Macaca mulatta: one gene and its partners. The protein of the gene in region 2 interacts with the protein of the main gene of each other region in a pairwise test. Links are inferred from orthologs where the notes say so. Each region holds a gene or a part of one and is shown on either strand. Other genes may lie near its edges.

Region 1 (6,830 bases), on a different chromosome or scaffold from region 2:
ATGACAGCACACCCTCCAGAAACCATATTTACTACAGATCACTCACCACTATTACACTCAATAATAACTAAAAGGCTAGAGGATTGGATTCATATAACATTTTAAAAAGTATACATATATTTTATAAATATAAGGATATTATTTGCACTAGCAAACAATTTATCTGTATTCCTAAAGTGTCATACAAATGATTCTTGCAAATCTGTTTTAACTAGGGAGAAAACAATGTATTGAGATAGTTGGACTAGACCTATCAACCACTAACACTAAACTTGGAAGAAAAGATCCAAGAGTTCATAGCTTAATTCTAAACCATCTATGCTTCTCACTTGAAAACAGAGAAGGGCTGATATAAATGAGTTGTGAGGGTATCTGACTACCCTAAAAGCAGAATCTTTGCAGGTTTTAGCCCTGGAAGGATTCCTAGGTGAGATGGGGGTACCTATTTCATATTCTACTTTTGGTTGCCTCCTTACTTTTGTTTTGTGACCTCAACCAGGCTCCTTGTGTAAGTTACAATTTATTTGTGGATGTGAACTCGGGCTCCTTTTGTAGGTTATAGTTTATTTGTGGGTGTGAACCCCCTTCCTTTGCCTGGTTCAATTTCTTCAGCGGTCTAGGAAAGAGACCTTTCCGAGCAGTGGCCTGTTTTAAATCTGTAGGCCTCTCTTCCTACCACTCACTTCTTGGCCCAACCCCCCTTCACATTCCTCTGCTTAGGAAGATAGCGGGGGCAAAAAAGGCCTCATACATTATTATTTTATTAAGAAACCATTTTCTCTCCAGGATGGGCACAAGGTGCAAGGCTATTTCCTTACATGAGCAGGTATTTTAAAAGCTGGGCAGGAGACGCCATACTGTAAATTTAAAATTTAAAAAAAATTTAAGGCGAACCTTCTTTTTAACCTTAAGAATAGTCTTCACTATTCTCCACCACCTTCCCACTGGCTGTGTAGAAATAACGACCACCAGATGAGAACAGGCTATTTACTCAGAGCTGGCAAGGGAGTCAGCCGAGACCCATCACTTGGTTTGGTAGACTCATAGGCAGGCAGGGGAGTGGAAAAGCTTTACATACAGTGAAAAAAGTGAGAAACTTCAGGCTGGCTCTGATTGGAGGCTCCCGGCACCGGGAAGTTGGAGGAGGGCTAATTAGAAGCAGGGCTTCTTATGTGATTGGTGTGAGGAGCACATTTGGCTTTCTCTGATTGGCCCAGAGCTGGAAGCAGGGGCAAGAAATAGGGAAGCGGCCAGCTAAAGATCAAGTCCTGACCATTCTGGGCAGATTACTGCAGAGGTCATGGGTAGGAGGTCATGGATAGGTTTGGCCATTCTTTGTATACTCAAGTCTCTCAATTGGGCGAGACCCAGATATTGTTTCGCTTGACCTAGTTAGCTTTTAACTCCAAAGTTTTGTTTAACTTGGAAGAAGACAGCAGTTCTATTATTTCTGTCAAGGATAAACAGAGACATTGGGATCTGAAAAGTAATTATGGAAAGATAAATAAATATCTTTATAGTGAGGGTCAGCCAGGAGGAATCACCCTCTGCCTTCAGGTTCTCCATTTCCTTACTGAATTCCTACTTCCATTATAACGGACGATTCAGTAGCTTCCCTCCCTTTGGGGGAGGGCCCGGCCTCCTCCGCTCCCACTTTCTTGAGTTCTTGAGTCTTGCCCTTCGACGGCAGGAGAAGAGGGTTGCGCCCTATCAACTCCTCACTTTACAGTCCAGCTTCTCCCCCCACCACTCCGGTGAGCTACCCCTGCTCCATGCGTTCCGGAGTAATCCCCCTCAGTCGCACTCTCACAGCCCGGCCCCTGCCCCCACCTCATCCCCAGCTGTGCCTTCACCTCCCGGTTCCTCCCCAACAGGTCCCCCAAGATACGCCCTCACAGTCCGGTCCCCCGCCGTCCTCTCCCGGCGCACGCTCAAGCCCGGTGCCTTCCCCCCGCGGCCCCCCGAGGCGCACCCTCAAGCTCGGTGCCTTTGCCCCACCCGGCCCCACAGGGGCGCCCTCAAGCCTAGTACACTTCACATGAGAGCCCCTGGGGCGCACCCTCAAGCTCGGTGTACCCCCCCATACAACCCGCAGGCGCGCCCTCTTGCCTGGAGCCTTCCCCCGCCCAGGCACACCCTCAAGCCCGGTGCCTGCCCCCACCCCCAACCAGCCCCCCAGGCGCACTTTCAAGCCCGGAGCCTTCCCCTAGCCAGGCGCGCCCTACTGGCCCGCCCTGCCCCTCCGCGAAGCGCCCCCCGCGCGCTCCCTGGAGTCCTCCCTCCTGCCTGTCGCGGCCTCCAGGCCCGGTCGGCCCCCCTTCCGGCCCCCACACTCAGACGCGTGCCCCGCGTCTCCGGGCCGCTAGTCCCGCGCCTTCCTGGATGGACGCGGCCCCTTACGCCCGGCATCAGCCTCCCCGGCTAGCACGAGAAGTCAGGTCAGCTTCCTGTCCCCAAGCAGCTGCCCGGGGGCCAGTTTTCAAAACATAGCCTTAGACATGTAATAAAGAGATGCTCCTCTGGTCTCAACTCCCTATTTTTACTTTGGAGGGGCGAAGGCAGGGCTACCCTTGCCAGCCACCATTCCCCAATCACTTCGCAGCTGTGGAAAAGCAGCCGTCCTGTCCCTTCAGAAAGGAACTCATATTTCCCCCTCGAACTTTTCTCGTCGGTGTGAGAGAAGGGCCCTCCATTTTCTCCTCAGGAGGCTTTTGCGGCCCGGCTTCCTCTCACCACCAGGCCGGGAAGGCAGTGACGCCGCGGCGGATGTAGCCGCGGCGGCCGAGGTTTCGCCATCTTGAGTGGAGGAGGAGCCGCGGTCGCCGCCATGCGGAGAGGCAGGGAAAGAGGGAGGAGGCGGCGGGCAGGCGAACGGGCGAGCGAGGGAGGGGACAGAGGAGCCGAGTTAGCTCAGCCCGGCGGCGACTTCGGCGGCGCCACGAGAGCGGGCAGCGGAGGAGGTAGGGCTGGACGGCCGGGGGAGCCGGCGGCGCGGGCGGCTGGGCTGCGCGCCCCTCGGAGCCGGGTGGGGGCGGGGGCGGGAGGAGGCCGTAGCGAGGGGGCCGAGTGGGGGCGGGCGGAGGTTTCCGAGGAGGAAGGAGCGGCCGCCATTTTGGGAGCTTCGAGTCAACAATAAAGGACCGAGGGTGCCGAGCGGGAGTGGCCTCCTTGGTAGGACACGGGCCCGAGCCGCGAGGCCTGGGGTGAGGTGGTGGGGTCGAGGTCAGCGGCGCTGTGGGGGCTGCGGGGAGTCTCCCGGGCCGGCTCTGGGGGACTCTCTTGGGCGGAGGCCTAAGGCCTGGCCGGGCCTGGGGAGGAAGGCGGGCGGCAGCTGTGTGGGGTGGGGGCGCCTGAGAGGAGGCGAATATAGGAATGTGGTGCGCGGCAGGGTCGGCAGGAGGAGCAGGCTAAGTACTCGGAGGAGCTTTATCGAAGATGAGGGAATATGAGGCCGAAGGGGGCGGCAAGGACTTAGGGGGATGATGGTGGAGGTTATAGGGTACGAGGCGGCCCTATAGGGGGCGGCAGGGACATGCTGTATTGGAAGGCTCGGTTTAGAAGCGAACTGACCGCTGCTTGATTGCGGTAGGCCTTGCAGGTCAATAACAAGAGGGTGTATATGGAGCCCCAGACTCTTGGAGGAAAGGAGGGGGATTTCTGGGTTGGGGGGTCCCTTTGGGGCCTTCTTGGGGGAGTCCCTATTGTTTGCTACTGATGGAGCTGGTTGCCGGTTCATATTGCGCAGATAGGATTGCAGAGCCCAACCTTTTGTGTTTATGGTCAGAGGGAGCTGACTTGACGTGTGTGTGTTTGGGGCGAGGGGCAGCAGGGGGGAGGGCAAGAAATTTCCCTACAATTGTGGGGCTCCAGTCATTGACTTGTCTCTTTCCCTTATCTCTTTCTTTTCCCTTCCACAGCCCCCCTTTCCCTTCAGAATAAAACCCAGTCACTCCAACTTGCAGGCAAAGCTTAGAAAAACTGCGCTGCATTTGCAAACAAAAGCTCTTGTTGGCGATGACGATACTGTTTTGGGTGTGAAACTGTCAATTGCTAACTATGATCTGAGAAGTGCTGTAATTAACTCCGCTAGGGGCTCCTCCCAACTAGTCTACGTTTCTAGTCTGTTTCTCGTTTTTTTGTGTTTTGTTTTGTTTTGAAAATGGAGAAAGATAACTTGAAAATATAAATTGGGAAGGAATAGGAGGAATATTTCCTTCTCTGAGACAAAGCTGCAGTGCAGGTTTCAGTTTAAGGGAGCAGTTATCACATAGTCTCATTTTGGATTTAAGGATATAGGTCTTACTGTGCATGATGGACAGTAATGATGATATCGTTCGGTCTTTAGAGGTTGCCCTTTTCATCCTCTTAGTGCTCTGCAAACAGCTAAGTCTCTGTGTGAACTGCGTGATGTCGCTGATCATAATATAAACCCGTCAATACAGGAAAGTAGCTGTTAACCATATCTGCTTAAGATGTCAGAAGGACTTTAAAGTAAACAACTTTGTGTATGTGATAATCAGGATTTGCTTGTGAGCAACTTGTTCTTTTTTTTTTTTTTTTTAAGGAAGGCATAATCAAGGAGCATTTTCTCATAAATTTTGAGATCTGTTGACTTTAAAATTTTGAGTTTCACATGCCTTGGTGTATGGCAGAAAGAATCAGCACTCGTAAGCTGTGTATTTTATGTAAGAAATGTGACGGGGTTGCTGGGTGCGGTGGCTCACGCATGTAATCCCAGCACCTTGGAGGCCAACCAAGGCAGGCGGATCAGCTGAGGTCAGGAGTTCGATACTAGCCTGGCCAACATGGCAAAACCCCGTCTCTCCTAAATATACAAAAAATTTAGCTGCGCGTGGTGGCGGGCGCCTGTAATCCCAGCTACTCTGGAAGCTGAGACAGGAGAATCGCTTGAACGCAGTAGGCGGCGGTTGCAGTGAGCCGAGATAGTGCCACTGCACTCCAACCTGCGTGACAGAGCGAGACTCCGCCTCAAAAACAAAAACAAAAAAGCCATGTAACGGGGTTAAATCAAAAGCCAACAGAGTAGGGCTTTGTTTTCGGGTCTTTGTATGTTTTTATTAACTACAATTAAGATTTCAGCCGGGCACGGTGGCTCTCGCCTGTAATCCTAGCACTTTGGAAGGCTAAAGCGGGCAGATATTTGAGGTCAGGAGTCTTGAGACCAGCCTGGCCAACTTGATAACACCCCGTCTCTACTGAAAAATACAAAAGTTAGCCGGACTGTAATCCCACCCAGCTACTTGGGAAGCTAAGGCATGAGGATCGCTTGAACCCACGAGGTGGAGGTTGCAGTCAGCTGAGATCGGGCCACTGCACTCCACCCTGGGCAACATGTCTCAAAAGTAATAATAATAAATAAGAGTGGCTGGGGGGGTGGCTCACGCCTCTAATCCCAGCACTTTGGGAGGCCGAGGTGGGCGGATCACCTGAGGTCAGTTGTTCAAGACCAGCCTGGCCAACATGTCCAAACTACGTCTTTACTAAAAATACAAAAATTAGCTGGGCATGGTAGCGCATGCCTGTAATCCCCAGCTACTCAGGAGGCTGAGGCAGGAGAATCACTTGAACCCGGGAGGTGGAGGTCGCAGTGAGCTAAGAGCGTGCCATTGCACTCCAGCCCGGGCGACAGTGCAAAACTCTGTCTCAAAAAATAAAATGAAAAATAAAAGTAAGAATTTCCATTTACGGATAATTTTGTTTTTTTTTTGTTTTTTTGAGACAGAGTCTCGCTCTGTCGCCCGGGCTGGAGTGCAGTGGCCGGATCTCAGCTCACTGCAAGCTCCGCCTCCCGGGTTCACGCCATTCTCCTGCCTCAGCCTCCCGAGTAGCTGGGACTACAGGCGCCCACCACCGCGCCCGGCTAATTTTTTGTATTTTTTAGTAGAGACGGGGTTTCACCGTGTTAACCAGGATGGTCTCGATCTCCTGACCTCGTGATCCGCCCGTCTCGGCCTCCCAAAGTGCTGGGATTACAGGCTTGAGCCACCGCGCCCGGCCCCATTTACGGATAATTTTAAAATGAGGTTGACCAGTTTTGTGTCTTTTTAAGCGGAGTTTTGCTCTTGTTACCTAGGCTGGAGTACAGTGGTGTGATCTCGGCACATTGTTGCCTCCGCCTCCTGGGTTCAAGTGATTCTTCTGCCTCAGCCTCCTAAGGAGCTGAGATTTCAGAGGACCACCACCACGCCCAGCTAATTTTTGTATTTTAGTGGAAATGGAGTTTCACCATATTGATCAGGCTGGTCTTGAACTCCTGACCTCAGGTAATCCACCAGCGTCGGCCTCCTAAAGTGTTCGGATTACAGGTGTGAGCTACCGTGCCCGTCCTGCCAGTTTTTTGTTTTTTTGTTTTTTGGTTTTTTTTTAAGTATTAATTAGATTTACTACGCTGGGTTTCTTGGAAAGTTTTCTTAAAATTACTAGTGTGTTTAGTCTTCTACAGTTTTTTTTTTAAACAGGGATTTTCCTGTTTTTTTTTTTTATTCTATTTAAAACGAATAGTTATTAGCAGAGTTTGTTATAAATGAATAAAATTATTAGAGTTGTTTTGTCAGTTTCAAAATAAAGAATCATTTATACAAAATTTGTGTATCATCTGTCCTTAGGATCATTACTTGCTGAATATATTATGGCAGAAATACACTATTCTCTTGATTGCTTTGTGTATTGTTTTAAAGGACAAAAAGGAAAAAATAAAATACATTTTTCTTCATAAAGTTTTTTATTGTTGTTTTTTGAGACAAGGTCTCACTCTGTCGCCCGGCTCACTGTAGCCTCCATCTCCTAGGTTCCAGTGATTCTCGGCCCTT
Region 2 (6,830 bases):
ACAGAATTGCAAAGAAGCCTAGAGGTCTCCATGCACCCGCCCCCACCCCCACGGCATCATCCCGAAAAGCTGCAGGGCAACTGCCAAATCCAGACACACATGCCCAGCACCCACAGGGACGGCTCAGACAGGGAACTTTACTTTCTTTGTACTCTCAGTATTCCCAACACTTCTGGAATAGGCATGTGACCGTTGATTTTAGCTCCTTATTTCTTTTTATTTAATTAAATAAGCAACATATGGATACTCCTTGTTTTGAGAATTTTGGGCCGGCTGCGCACAGCAAAGAGGCTGAGCGCCCCTCGGCAGCTCCCTGCACAGCCACACGCTGGGATGCGTGTGGAGATCACCCACTGGGTTTGGAGGTGCACAGGACCTCAGGGGGCGATCCCACCAGAGGAGCGGGGCTCGGCCTATGGCCCAGCTACCCCGAACTCCCCAGAGCTCCAGGGCCTTTCCTTCCATTTCCAGGAGTGACACCAATCTTGTCTCCTCTCCCAGCCCCAACCAGTGGGAAGAGAGGGTCCCATAACAGGCCATGGCAGTGGCCTGGGAGAGGCCACCCCTGCTGCCTGCCCACCTCAGAGGGTCCCCAGCTTGAGGATTCCGAGCAAACCTGGGTGCTGCATGTGTCCCTCCTCTGGAAAGAGCAGGCTGGAGATAGTGACCCCTCGTCCCACCTCCCAGGTGCACTGCGGGTGGACTGGGAACCAGGCAGCAAAATCCACCCAGCTTGAGGCCCGCGTCCTCCTGAAAGGGCCCCAAGCCCACACCCGGGGTGTTGCTGAAGTGACCAAAGGTAACCGCTGTGCTGAGGGGGCACGGGAGGACAGAGAGGGGGCGAAGTCATGGTACCCCAAGATCATCCCAGAAAACACGTTGGGAAGTTCTACTTTGTGTCTAGCCTGACTCCTTCTCCGGCGCCCAGGCCCTTTCCCGACAGACACAGCCCTCCCCTCCTATGTCCCTGAGCTTCCTGGTGCCTCTCCCTCTGCCCCCGGCAGCCCTGGCTTCTGTGCTGTATCCTCAGCAGGGCCTGGAGACACCCCAGAGGCCTTAAGAGCCACACCCTTCACTTTGATTTCTGCAGGAAACGAGGTGGCTCTGGGCCTTGGATAGGAAAGGGTTGGGGGTCTCGCTGGGGCCCAGCAACACTGACCTGAGTATGACCAGAACAGTCACCAGAGGCCTCCTGGGAGGGCGGGTGCAGCCCCAGCCCCCGCCGTGAGTAGGAGGAGCGGGGGCGGGTGTGAAAGTGTGGTGGGCAGCAGCGGGTCTATGCGGCTCAGCAGTGGAAAGTGAGCGGGCCAGGCTTCCAGGCGAGCTCAGGGACGGTTTTCACTGCAGCTAACCCTCTCCTGCCCGCCTGCACTCCCCGTGGTAACCAAAGGCCCTGCAGTGTGCGACTCCTCTTTATTCTTCCAAACTCTGTGAGCCTGCACGCTCCCATCCAGGACAGAACAGCAGGGGAGAGTGGCTGAAGGACGACAGGGGGCCTTTAGGGCCAGCTGGGTGGATGAGCTGAGTCTGCTAGGGTTGAGGGTTCAGTTGGGGGTCGGGGGGCATCAGTCGGGGGTCGGGGGGCGTCGAAGCCTGGGCCCCATCCAGCTGTCCTCTTTGTCCGGCCCAGGTGTCCCTGGGGTTCCTGTTGTGCCCCCGGCTTCTCTAGGGTTAAGTCCTCCTCCCCGTTCCCTCACTGTGGGGTTTAGCAGCATGGCCCAGCTGTGGAGTTTGGACTGGCAGTCGGGGTCACAGCAGACTCAGGAGCTCTGATTCCGGGGCCAACACTGAATGCTCCTCTTCTGGGGACATCAGCGCCTCTCCCTTGGCTACTTGGGGAGGCTGGTATGGAGGGAAGTGGAGGGAGAAGGAGGAGGTGGAGGGAGACGCGGGGAAGTGAGGGGAGGTGGGGGGAAGGAGGGAAAGAGGGAGGAGGGAGAAGGGGGAAGGGGAGGAGGAAGGAGAGGAAGAAGGAAGAGGAAGGGGGAGGGGGAGGGGGAGGGTAGGGCAGCTCAGGCCCTTCTGTCTGCTCTGATCTTCACGGCCTGAGGATAAGAGCTGCTCCCAGACCTGCGGAGGCCCCTTGGAGCAGAGGGATGTTTCAGAGAACACCCGGGTGACCTGCCTCCCTGCTCTGCATGACGCAGCACTAGGCCCCTGTGAGTCCAGCGTCACCCCTGCAAGGTGGGGGGTCATGGCCCCTGCCTGGACGGGCTGCGCAGCCCATCTGTCTTTACTTGGGCCTTCTCTGCTTCCAGAGGCTGCCCTGGGCGCCTGACCCTGGAACCTTCATCTCCAGCTCCCCAACCCCTCCCCCACAGCCCTGGGACCGGCGCCAGCCTGGGGAGGGGTCTCCATGCTCAGTTCCTTCCCGTCTTGTTCAAAGAGACACTGCCTGCCCACGTGCCATCAGCAGGATCCACAACCCTGCCAGGGGCCCCATGACACGCTCCCGCTGCACAGAGCATGTGACCCCAGAGGCCACCCTGGCCCGTTCCAGAAAGTGTGGGCCCTGGGATACTCCCCTCCCAGGGTGTCTGGTGGCCGGCCTATGCCTATCCCTGCTGTCCTGGGGTGAGCCCGGAGGTCAGGAGCTCCAGAAGGGCCAGCTGGGCATATTCTGGGACTGGCCATCAGCCCCCATTTCTGCTGCAGACCTGGTCAGAGCCAGTGTTCCCTCCATGGGGCCTGAAGACAGTGCCAAGTGCCCGCGCCATGGACCACAGCTGTGCCGCTGGGCAGCTGGTGACGGTCCCGCGCGGGAGCGCTGTGGACCCCGCTCTCTGGGCAGCCCTGCCCTAGGCCTGGACAGCTGCAGAGCCTGGGACCATGTGGATGGGCAGATCCTGGGCCAGCTGCGGCCCCTGGCAGAGGAGGAAGAGGAGGAGGGCGCCGGGGCCATGTCGCCCAGGGGGCCTGCCTTCCCCGGCATGGGCTCTGAAGAGCTGCGTCTGGCCTCCTTCTATGACTGGCCGCTGACGGCTGGGGTGCCGCCCGAGCTGCTGGCCGCTGCCGGCTTCTTCCACACAGGTCAGTCCCGGGCGGGGGGGCCTTCCTGCTGTGGGCCTGGGCACGATTCTGGACCCTTCCAGCCCAGGGCTCTGCCTCCTCCGTAGCATCCATCCCCCAACAGGAAGGGTCTGGCCGGATGATGGAGCAGGAGTCCTGCAAGCCCTTCAGTGCCCATGTGCTCCTGCCTGACACGCTCTCCCGGAGTCTCTGCTGGCCAAGTGTGTCAGACTGTGGGACATGAGGAGGGGCTGCCTCTGGCCATGGTCTGGGGGTCTCAGCTGTGGAGGCCACCAGCTTGGTGCGCAAGTACCTGTTTGTGATAGAAGTGGGTGGGGCTGACATTGCCTGGGGCCCTCACCGTCCTGCTGCTGGTCTGCACGGGGAGGGGAGGAGATGTTTAAGGAACAGGATCACGGTGACCAAGGCAGGCGTGGTCAGCCGGAAGGTCCTGGCAGCTCAGCCTGTGGGGAATTTCTTCAGGACCCAACCTGCAGCCACTGTCTGGTCTTCCCCAACTAAATCAAGTCCCCGGAGTACCTATCCTCGTCTTGACCTGGGCCCGCTCCTCGGCCCTACAGCTGGGGACCATGTGGTCAGACCTGAGTTCAGGTCCCAGCTCTGCCACTTCCGGGCTGAAGGACAGGGCAGCAGGGCCCACTGAGGGCTTTACGAGTACTGGCACAGCCAAGGTCATTGTCAGCAGTGGGCTCTGGGAGGGCACCATCCTGGTAAGGCTGGACCAACTTAAGACAGCTGGTCGGGGGGGACAGTGGCTGGGACAGTCAGGAGTCGTGGTGTGAAGGGGCAGGCCTGGCTCACCCAACTCCCTGGAGGTCCAAGGCTCAGCAGGTGAAGGTCAGGCAGGAGGCATGGCAGGTGCAGAGCCAGGGTCTTTGGGGCTGGTCGAGGTCCAGTGCCTGATGCAGCCCAAACCTGTGATGTCAGTGGCAGGTGATATATCGCATGCCTGCCGATGAGGGGACGGGGCTGTCAGGAGGTAGAGCGAGGAGGGGTCCCCCACCCCTAAAGGGAGGCATGAGTTCCTAAAACCAAGCCTGGCCCCAGACTGGCCTTCTAGGGCAGCCTCCCTTCTTCCTCTCGCTGGGACTCATCTTGGGGAAGCAGAGACCTGGGGAGGGGCTCTTCTGGCTCCTGAAGCCTCAGGGCTATAGATGTGCCAGGCCCTGGGGGGCCCCCACTGCTTACTCTGGGAACAATGCAAATGCCAGCTCAGTCCTTTCCTGAACATTCTCACCCATCCTGGCCGGCACCCCAGACACCCTTGTCCCCTTTTCACCTTTGATGCTAATGAGGTGCAAGAGTCCTCCCCCACCCAGCCCCCTGCCCACCCCCTCCTCCCTGTTGCCACCTGGGAGCTCCCCTCCAGTTGAAGCTCTCGCAGCCTTGGAAGGACGTACCGGGGGGGCAGGGGGCTGGCTGGGGCCTGGCTGGGGCCAGCATCTCTCCGCACCCCAGGCCAGCAGGACAAGGTGAGGTGCTTCTTCTGCTACGGGGGCCTGCAGAGCTGGAAGCGCGGGGACGACCCCTGGACGGAGCATGCCAAGTGGTTCCCCAGGTACCAGCTGTCCCTGTGGGGCCCCGGGTCTGATCACGGGTCAGGAGTGGGCCCCAAAGGGCTCTGTCGACCCAACACCAGGCCTGCTTTGCCTCCCTGGCCCCACAGGGCACTGGGGAGGCCCCTCTGTGGATGGTGCTTCCGGCCGGCAGGCACCCACTTTTCCTGTGAGGGCCCCTGTTCGGAAGGGCTGCTGGGGGCAGAAGTGCCTCTCCTGTGGGACTACCCTGAAGCCCCATGGAGGTGTCTCCAAGGCAGCCCTCCTCGCCCATGCCCACGGGCACTGCAGGGCGGCGGGAGGAGGGGGCCCAACCCCCGGGGATCCAAGGGCTTGAAGCGGACGGCGGGGGCCCTGAACCCCAACCTACATCTGTGGGGCATCTGCAGCTGCCAGTTCCTGCTCCGGTCAAAAGGAAGAGACTTTGTCCACAGTGTGCAGGAGACTCACTCTCAGCTGCTGGGCTCCTGGGTGAGCGCCACCTCCCCTCGGGGCTCCGGGCGCCAGTGGGGTCCTGCCCCTCCTATTTCCCCAAGGCACCGACAGTCTCTGGCTCCTTCCAGGACCCGTGGGAAGAACCGGAAGAGGCAGCCCCTGTGGCCCCCTCCGGTGAGAGCCAACACCCTACTGACTCCTTGGGCACCTGCAGCCTGTGCTTGGCCAAGGCCATGGGGTGTCCCCACCCTGCCAGACAGCAGGGAGAGTGACGGGCACGTGACCGGGTGTGAGGCTGCTGCCTGGGTTGGCTTCATGGGGGCTGTGCCGTGTGAGGTGGCGCGGGGCGGCAGGGGCCTCTGCCAGTGCCAGGTCCCCATTCTGCTTCTCCCCCAGCTCACCCCCTGGGCACAGCCCATCGCCCCTCGCCGCACCACCCCCAACAGTGCCCAGCACACAGTGTCTGCAGCCACTGCCAGATGGGCTGGATGTGCAGAGGGCCTTGGACAAGGGGCAGGCTCTCTGGTGGCCCCTCCAGGAAGCCTTTGGATCCTGTTATGCTGTGGGAGGGGTGGGAAGAAGTGTCGGGAGCGGGGGTACTCTGCAGTCCCTCCACTCCTGGCCAGAACTGGACCCCACAGGCTGCGGACCTGTCTCTGGGCCGGCCCGGCTTCCCCTTGGGAGCTAGGCCTCAAGTCCATCCTAACTGTCCACAGTCCCTGCCCCTGGGGACCCTGAGCTGCCCACGCCCAGAAGAGAGGTCCAGTCTGAAAGCGCCCAGGAGCCAGGTGCAGGCCCGGGACCCCCTGGGGTGGGGGCTGGGACAGGGGAGGGCTGATGGCACCTGGAGGGCTGGGTAACGCCAACCTTCCACAGGCCGAAGAGGGCAGGGGCCAGGGTGCGGGGACACTTTGCAGGCCTGTCCTCCTAGGGGGAGCCAGTCCCCCCCAGGCCCAGAGCGGGTGGTGGGTTCTTGAGCCCCCAGGAGCCAGGGACGTGGAGGAGCAGCTGCGGCGGCTGCAGGAGGAGAGGACGTGCAAGGTGTGCCTGGACCGTGCCGTGTCCATCGTCTTCGTGCCATGCGGCCACCTGGTCTGCGCTGAGTGTGCCCCCAGCCTGCAGCTGTGCCCCATCTGCAGAGCCCCCGTCCGCAGCCGTGTGCGCACCTTCCTGTCCTAGGCCAGGTGAGCGTCCCGGCACCACGCACAGCCAGCCCTCCTGCGGAGATGGCCCTGAGCCGGCCGTGCCCGGCCCTCCTGAACCCGGCAGGCCCTTCCCGGGTGGCATCGTCAGCCTGTCCTTACCCCGCTCACCAGGCCCCACTGATAGCACCCATCAGCCTTACTACCTGCCTTGACGCTTAGGTTGGGGCCTGGTCCTTCTCAGCACCATGCCCTGGCAGCCACCACAGCTCTGCCCGCCTGCGTTAACTGACGCCTGCTGGCTCCTCTCGGCCTTGATTTTCTTCAGTGGTCAAGGAAAGCCGGCTTTGGAGGCGTTTGGGGAAACAGAGTGGGCCGGTTTGGGCTTACACAAGCGAGACACCAGCCTGGCCTTAAACCGGGGCCAAGGCACGGTGGGGACGCCTGCACGGTGGGGACGCCTGCACGGTGGGGACGCCTGCATGGGACGGGGGCGTGTGAACCTGTTCTTAGAGAAGTGGGTGGGATGCCCCAAGCTGGCCGAGGGACAGGTGCTGTGACTGCCTTGGGGCTCTCCAGGGCCTCTGTAGTTACCCCCGGGATGTGTCTGAAGATCTTTTGGAGGGGACAACGTAGTCAGGCAGGGAAATCTGGGAAAGGGAAATCT
Region 3 (6,830 bases), on a different chromosome or scaffold from region 2:
TCAGGTGCCACCGAAGAGTTTTTTTGTTTTCTTGTTTTTTGTTTTTTTTTTTTTTACCTTGAGACAGAGTCTCACTCTGTCACCCAGGCTAGAGTGTAGTGGTACAATCTTAGCTCACTGCAACCTCCAGCTCTGAGGTTCAAGCGATTCTCCTGCCTCAGCCTCCGGAGTAGTTGGGATTACGGGCACACACCACCATGCCTGGCTAATTTCTTTTGTATTTTTAGTAGAGACAGGGTTTCACCATGTTGCCCAGGCTGGTCTTGAACTGACCTCAAGTGATCCTCCAGCCTTGGCCTCCCAAAGTGCTGGGATTACAGGGATGAGCCACCATGGCCAGTCTTCAGTTTTTTCTGTTTTTTGTTTTTGTTTTTTTGAGAAAGAGTCTTGCTCTGTCACCCAGGCTGGAATGCAGTGGTACCATCTCAGTTCACTGCAACCTCCACCTTTCAGGTGCAAGTGATTCTCCCACATCAGCCTCCCAGGTAGCTGGGACTACAGGAACCCGCCACCATGCCTGGCTAATTTTTGTATTTTTTGGTCGAGATGGGGTTTCACCATGTTGGCCAGGCTGGTCTCAAACTCCTGACCTCAAGCGATCCACCAACCTCAGCCTCTCAAAGTGCTAGGATTACAGGCATGAACTACTGTGCAAGGCCACCAAAGAGTTTTAAGATTGGAGTGACAGAGACAGATACGCCTTTTCAAAAAATCATCCTGGGGTCAGGGTGAAAAATGGAAAGGAGTGAGCCATAGCCAGACCAGAAGGCAGCAAAGATGGTGCAGCTAAAATAGAGAGAAGTGAAAGGACAAAGCAGAGATACAAAGAGGGAGGGTCCATAGGACATGGGCACTGACTGGTGGGACTGTGAAGGCAGAGCAAGGGTCAAGGTTGACAGGCAGGCCAGGCACAGTAGCTCATGCTTGCAATTCCAGCACTCTGGGAGGCTGAAGTGGGAGGATAGCTTGAGCCCAGGAGTTCAACACCAGCCTGGGTAATGCAGTGAGATCCTATCTCTACAAAAACTTAAAAAAATTAGCCAGGTACAGTGTCATGCACCTGTAGTCCTAGCTACTCAGGAGGCTGAGGCAGGAGGATGGCTCGAGCCCAGGAGGTTAAAGCTGCAGTGAGCTGTGATAGCACCACTGCACTTCAGCCTGGGCAACACAGCAAGACCCTGTCTCAAAAAAAAAAAAAAAAGTTGAAGGTGTTAGGATGGTGGGGTCAGTCACTAAGACAGAAGAAAGATTCTGGTTATCTGCCACCTGTCTTCAGACACCCAGCACTGGACAGGTTCTCAGGATCCACAGGGATAAGATGGCACCATGTCCTCAACTATCCTACAGCAGCACTGTCTATGAGAACCTTCCATGATAATGGAAATATTCTTGGTCTACACTGTCCCATATGGTAACCATACATCACATGACCACTGAGCACTTGGGTGGTACAACGGAGGAACTGAATTTTTGTGGGCGAAAGATTACCTAGGTGCCAAGGCAAGAGACTGAAGCCACAAACTGTTTCAGTATAATAAAGAAAATAGTTAGAATAAGAATAGTCATAATACAAATTAGATACAGAGATGATCATGGATAATATCAATCATTATTATAAACATTATTAATCATTAGCTTTTAATATTACTCTTTGTTGCATTGCTAATATAACTTAGGAATAACCAGCGGGTACAGGGTCAGGTGCTGAAAGGACATTGTGAGAAGTGCCCTAGAAGGCAAGATGTGAGCCCTCTGTCACACCCGCAAAAGGGCCACTTGAGGGCTCCTTCGTCACGCAGTAATGCCAGCGTCTGGGAAGGCACGTGTTACTTAGCAGACCGTGAAAGGGAGTCTCCTTTCCTTGGAGGAGTCAGGAAACGCTCCACTCCACCAGCTTCTTGTGGGAGGCTGGATATTATCCAGGCCTGCCCGCAGTCATCTGGAGGCCTAAACCCTCCCTGTGGTGCTGTGCTTCAATGGTCACGCTCCTTGTCCACTTTCATGCTCCTCCCGTACTCCCGGCTCCTCTTTGAAGTTCGTAGTAGATAGCGGTAGAAAAAATAGTGAAAGTCTTAAAGTCTTTGCTTTCTTATGAGTGTATAGAAGAAAACGCTGACGTATGCTGCCTTCTCTCTCTGCTTCGGCTACCTAAAGGGAAGGGCCCACTTTCCTATGATCACGTGACTTGCTTCACCTTATCAATCACCTAAGACGACTCACCCTCCTTACCCTGCCCCCTTGCCTTGTATCCAATAAATAACAGCGCAGCCAAGCATTTGGGGCCACTACGGTCTCTGCGTCTAGGTGGTAGTGGTCCCCAGGGCCCAGCTCTCTTTTCTTCTATCTGTCTTGTGTCTTCATTTCTACGATCTCTCGTCTCCGCACACAAGGAGAAAAACCCACAGGCCCTGTGGGGCTGGACCCTACAGATTTTTAACTTTATTTAATTTTAATTACTTCAAATTTACCTTTAACCACATGTGGCTAATGGCTACTACAAACCTGTAGTGCCACTAAGAAGGTGAGTCTCACTAGCAGAGCAGTTGGCCACATGCAAATAGATGGTGGTGTTTAGATTTCTCTCCACATTTGCTAAACACTCCAGGAGGTCAACACTGTGTAAATGCATTGGTTCATCTTTTTCTCCCTCAATAACCTGATAGAGTTAAATTACAATTTCCCAACTTTTTAGGGTAAGAAATTTCAGGGAAACTGAGTCACAGAAAGGGGTTTTTCTGTTTGTTTGGTTCATTGGTTGTGGTTTTTTACGACTTGCTAATACGTTACAAGGCCAGGATGAGCGCCCAGATCCAAAACCTGCCTGTTTTTCAGCCATACTAGGGTGACAAAATGGCAACCTGTGGTTCCCACAAGGTTCTTAAAAAATTTCTGAATTTGTTGCTAACATTTTAAGCCAGGGAATTTGACAGAGGAATCAAGATTTCCAGCTTCTTTTTTAAAATGTGAAAGCTGGCCCAGGTACAGTGGCTCACACCTGTAACCCCAACACTGAGGCAGGAGAATCACTTGAGGCCAGGAGTTTGAGACTCATCTGGACAACATAGCAAGGCTCCTATCTGTACAAAAAAAAATTTTTTTTAATTAGCCAGGCATGGTGGCATGTGCCTAAAGTCCCAGCTACTCTAAAGGCTGAGGCAGGAAGACCACTTAAGCCAGGAGGTCAAGGTCGCAGTGAGCCATGATCTCATCACTGCACTCCAGGCTGGGCAAGAGTGAGACCCTGCCTCAAATAAGTGAAAGATCTGGCAATACTGGGCCATTTGCTGGTATGGCCATACTCAGCTGGAGTCAGAGAGCAGTGCAAAGGTATCCACTATGATGCCCATCCATCAGGCCTCCACAGGCACTGAGTTTGTGATCCCCGTGAACATTCCTGAAGGCAAGGACTGTGGCCTCAAACCATTTCTGTTCCCCAGTAGGGGCCACACAGAAGTCACAAGACTTAATTATTAATGAATAATTACTCATATGATACTCAATTATTTAAAGACTCTTTCCCTGGGCCAGGGCACTGGCCAGGGATATCCAGCCAGCCACTCACACCTACTGCACCTCATGGTAGGAAATATCTCCTGAGTCCTCACAGGCCTGTGATGAGGGTCAAATGAGATAAAGATGAGAAAGTGCTTTTAAAGAAAACCTCAAATGTTTGACTTTATTATTCTCCATTACCTGCATCAGGTCCCCTCATTTCCAAAACCTCTTAACAAAACATAAACTGAACACAGAAGGGGCTGGCCAAAGAGGGCAGGGCACACTGAGCCCTCGCTCTGTGCCTGGCACTACATTGTTTCACATCCATTATTTCATTTAGTCCTTATGACAGTATTATTCTTATTCCCATTTCACAGCCCAGAAACCGTGGCTCAAAGAGGGTAAATGACTGGCCCAAGAACACGCTGCCAGGCAGTCTTGATGCCAAAGTGGGTTCCCAATATCTCTATACTAGAAAAGTAAAAACGCACACGCCTCCTTCCTCGCAAGTATTAAACTAAAATGGAGACCAACCATGAATAATTCCTGAGCAGACAAAACCGATCAGGTATCCTTAGTGACCTAAATCTTGCTTAAACTGCAAACAGCAAAATTTAACTTGGGTCATATCTGATAAATGCTTATGTTAGAGAGAAGTAAAACTTAACTCCAGCCAATGATAAGCAAGCATAAGCAATCAACTAACAGACCTTTAAAAAAAAAAAAAGGGCAATTTTGTAACTGCAAACCAATCAAATAATTTCGTTATTTTGCTTCCACATTTTCCCAATAAATACTTGCCTCTGACCTTTTGTCATTGCAACACTAAACCTCTTTCAGTCTGGTGTTCTCCGATTCATGAACTGTTTCTAATTCAAAGTTTTCAAGATGGGTCTCACATTTTTCCTTTACACAAGACACACAAGCACTAACGGTGGACGCTGACTGAGTATGGCGTGGAATCGCTTTAGCGAACACCCGACTAAGAGGTGTTCGGGATTCTTAGTCTCCGCTGAGGGGTTCGAAGCCACAGGGAAAGCTAGGCTCCCGCACAATGGCTCCTCGAGGGGCGTGGGGACCCGGCCGTGCAGCGCGGGGCCAGGGGGCCAGGGGCGGGGGCGCACCTGGATGTCCTCGATCATGTGGGGCTTGAACAGCTCGCGGCTCAGCAGGGCGTCCCAGAGCTGATCCACCTGCAGCTCCTCCACCAGCCGCAGCCGGCACCGCCGCAGGAGCCGCCGGTCCGCTTCATCCATGGCGAAGAGCCTCAGTCTGCTTCCGGGCCTCGGCCGCCCGCCCCAGTCCCCAGGACCCGCCCCACTCCCCAGGGCCCGCCCCCGCGTCACTGCCCAGGGTCAGTCTTCGCTCCACCGCCTCAGGACGCATCTCCAATGCCTCACCCCGCCCCCAGGAGTCGCGCTTGCGTCACCTCCCCGCCCTCAGGACAACCCTCCGCGCCTCGCCCTGCCCCCAGGGTCAACTCTCGGGTAACCGCCCCGCCCCAGAACCCGCCCCCACGTCCCCGCACCGCCCCCGCGTCACCGCCCCGCCCCCAGGACGCATCTGCAAGGCCTCGCCCCGCCCCAAGGATTCGCTCTTGGGTCCCCGCCTCGCCGTCAGAACGCACCTCCGCGCCTCGCCCTGCCCCCAGGGTCAATTCTCGGGTCACCGCCCCGCCCCTGAACTTGCCCCCGCGTCACCGCCCAGTGCCCGGGACTCGTCTCTAAGGCCTCACCCCGCCCCCAGGTTCGCAATTGCGTCTCACCCCGCCCTCAGGACGCACCTCAGCGCCTCGCCCCGACCCCAGAATCCATCCCGCGCCACCGCCACGCCCCCACCCCGCCCCCAATGTCAATCTTGCGCCACCGCCCCGCCCCCAACGCCAAGCCTCGCGCCACTGCCCGGCCTCCAAGAGCCAACCCCCTCCCCTCGCTCCACCCTCAGAATCGTCCATGCGTCACCGCACCGCCTCGGACTCCAGCTCGCACCCTCGCCCCGCCCCCAAAGTCAATCCTCAGCCCCAGGATCCAATCTCCTGTCACCGCCCGGCCCCAAGGCGGTACCTCCGCACCTCGCCCGGCTCCCAGGGCCCAGCCCCGCCCCCGCGTCACCGCCCCCCTCCGGGCGCAGGTGCCCGTTTGCAATTGTGGCACCAGTTCCCAGTCCACCGAGGGCCCCTCGCCAGAATTCACTACGGCCCCGCTTTTACAGAGACTCGGAGAGAGTCGTCACACTTCCAGAAAGAGGGAAACCATGAGTGGAGCCACGGTCTGCCCCACCCCGTTCAACCTCCTCCGGGGCATGGATTCCCCTTAGCCTCCTCCTCCACCCCAAGAAAAACCATAAGCTCCCCTCACCGCCCCTGTGCCCAGATCGCAGTTGACTGTTCCAAACTCGAGTGTCTGATCCAACCAAGCCCACCTTACACAGTCTTCCGTTCCCTCTTCCCTCCCTCCCACCCTAACACCTCCCACACAGAAAAAAAACTGGCAGAAATCTAGTCCCTCTAAACTCCTGTCGTTTTGAACGGTTCATTTTCACATTTCAAAAATAATCGTTTCTGTTTACTGAGCATTTGCTAAGTCCCAGGCATCGTGCTAGCCACTTTTCATGCTTATCTCATTTATCCTTAACTACAATCCTGCCAGGAAAGTATTCCCGCCCCCACCCCCTGCCAGTTTTACAGATGTAGACCCTAGGGTTCAGGGAAACGAATGTTTAAGGACACATGGGCAGTAAGCGGCCGAGGCAGGCAGGATTGAAACCCGAAACCTGACTCGACAAGCCACACTTTTAAAATCCAAGAGTCCACCTTAGAATATAATCGCTTGAGCAGCAAAACCTCAGCCCCATTCGTTCACTTATTCTCCGAATTTTGTTTTTTTTTTTTGAGACGGAGTCTCGCTCTGTTGCCCAGGCTGGAGTGCAGTGGTGCGATCTCGGCTCACTGCAAGCTCCGCCTCCCGGGTTTACGCCATTCTCCTGCCTCAGCCTCCTGAGTAGCTGGGACTACAGGCGCCCGCCACCTGGCCCGGCTAGTTTTTTTGTATTTTTTAGTAGAGACGGGGTTTCACCGTGTTAGCCAGGATGGTCTCGATCTCCTGACCTCATGACCCGCCCGTCTCGGCCTCCCAAAGTGCTGGAATTACAGGCTTGAGCCACTGCGCCCGGTCTTTCCGAATATTTATTGAGGCTGTAGTCAAACACTGAGAACATGGAGGTGAACAAAACAAAATCCCTGCTTTTAGAGTTTACATTCCAGTGGAAGGATCAGGTGATAAACTATATAAATAAATAAAAGACATAGTATGTTAGTGATAAATGCAAAGAGAAAA

The links.
Region 1: the proteins of BIRC7 (region 2) and DDX6 interact in a two-hybrid assay, tested with the Homo sapiens proteins (3 studies listed by BioGRID and IntAct). The two-hybrid records come from large-scale screens. The link is inferred for Macaca mulatta from reciprocal best matches to the Homo sapiens genes BIRC7 and DDX6.
Region 3: the proteins of BIRC7 (region 2) and CASP9 interact in binary tests that used the Homo sapiens proteins (3 or more experiments, as listed by UniProt). The two-hybrid records come from large-scale screens. The link is inferred for Macaca mulatta from reciprocal best matches to the Homo sapiens genes BIRC7 and CASP9.

What each region holds. Positions count from the first base shown.
Region 1 is NC_133419.1:119,469,535-119,476,364, reverse strand, and holds the start of DDX6 (putative ATP-dependent RNA helicase DDX6), read left to right. Parts: upstream 1-2,893; 5' UTR 2,894-2,960; intron 2,961-3,115; exon of another isoform or gene 3,116-3,203; intron 3,204-6,830.
Region 2 is NC_133415.1:116,086,247-116,093,076, forward strand, and holds the start of BIRC7 (baculoviral IAP repeat-containing protein 7), read left to right. Parts: upstream 1-1,957; 5' UTR 1,958-2,159; exon of another isoform or gene 2,160-2,258; 5' UTR 2,259-2,441; coding exon 2,442-3,030; intron 3,031-3,133; exon of another isoform or gene 3,134-3,310; intron 3,311-4,488; coding exon 4,489-4,588; intron 4,589-4,975; coding exon 4,976-5,057; intron 5,058-5,149; coding exon 5,150-5,195; intron 5,196-5,737; coding exon 5,738-5,809; intron 5,810-5,952; coding exon 5,953-6,200; coding exon of another isoform or gene 6,201-6,205; intron 6,206-6,385; coding exon of another isoform or gene 6,386-6,631; intron 6,632-6,830.
Region 3 is NC_133406.1:225,516,287-225,523,116, reverse strand, and holds the start of CASP9 (caspase-9), read right to left. Parts: upstream 4,773-6,830; 5' UTR 4,752-4,772; coding exon 4,620-4,751; intron 1-4,619. UniProt on the Homo sapiens protein: Involved in the activation cascade of caspases responsible for apoptosis execution. Binding of caspase-9 to Apaf-1 leads to activation of the protease which then cleaves and activates effector caspases caspase-3 (CASP3) or caspase-7 (CASP7).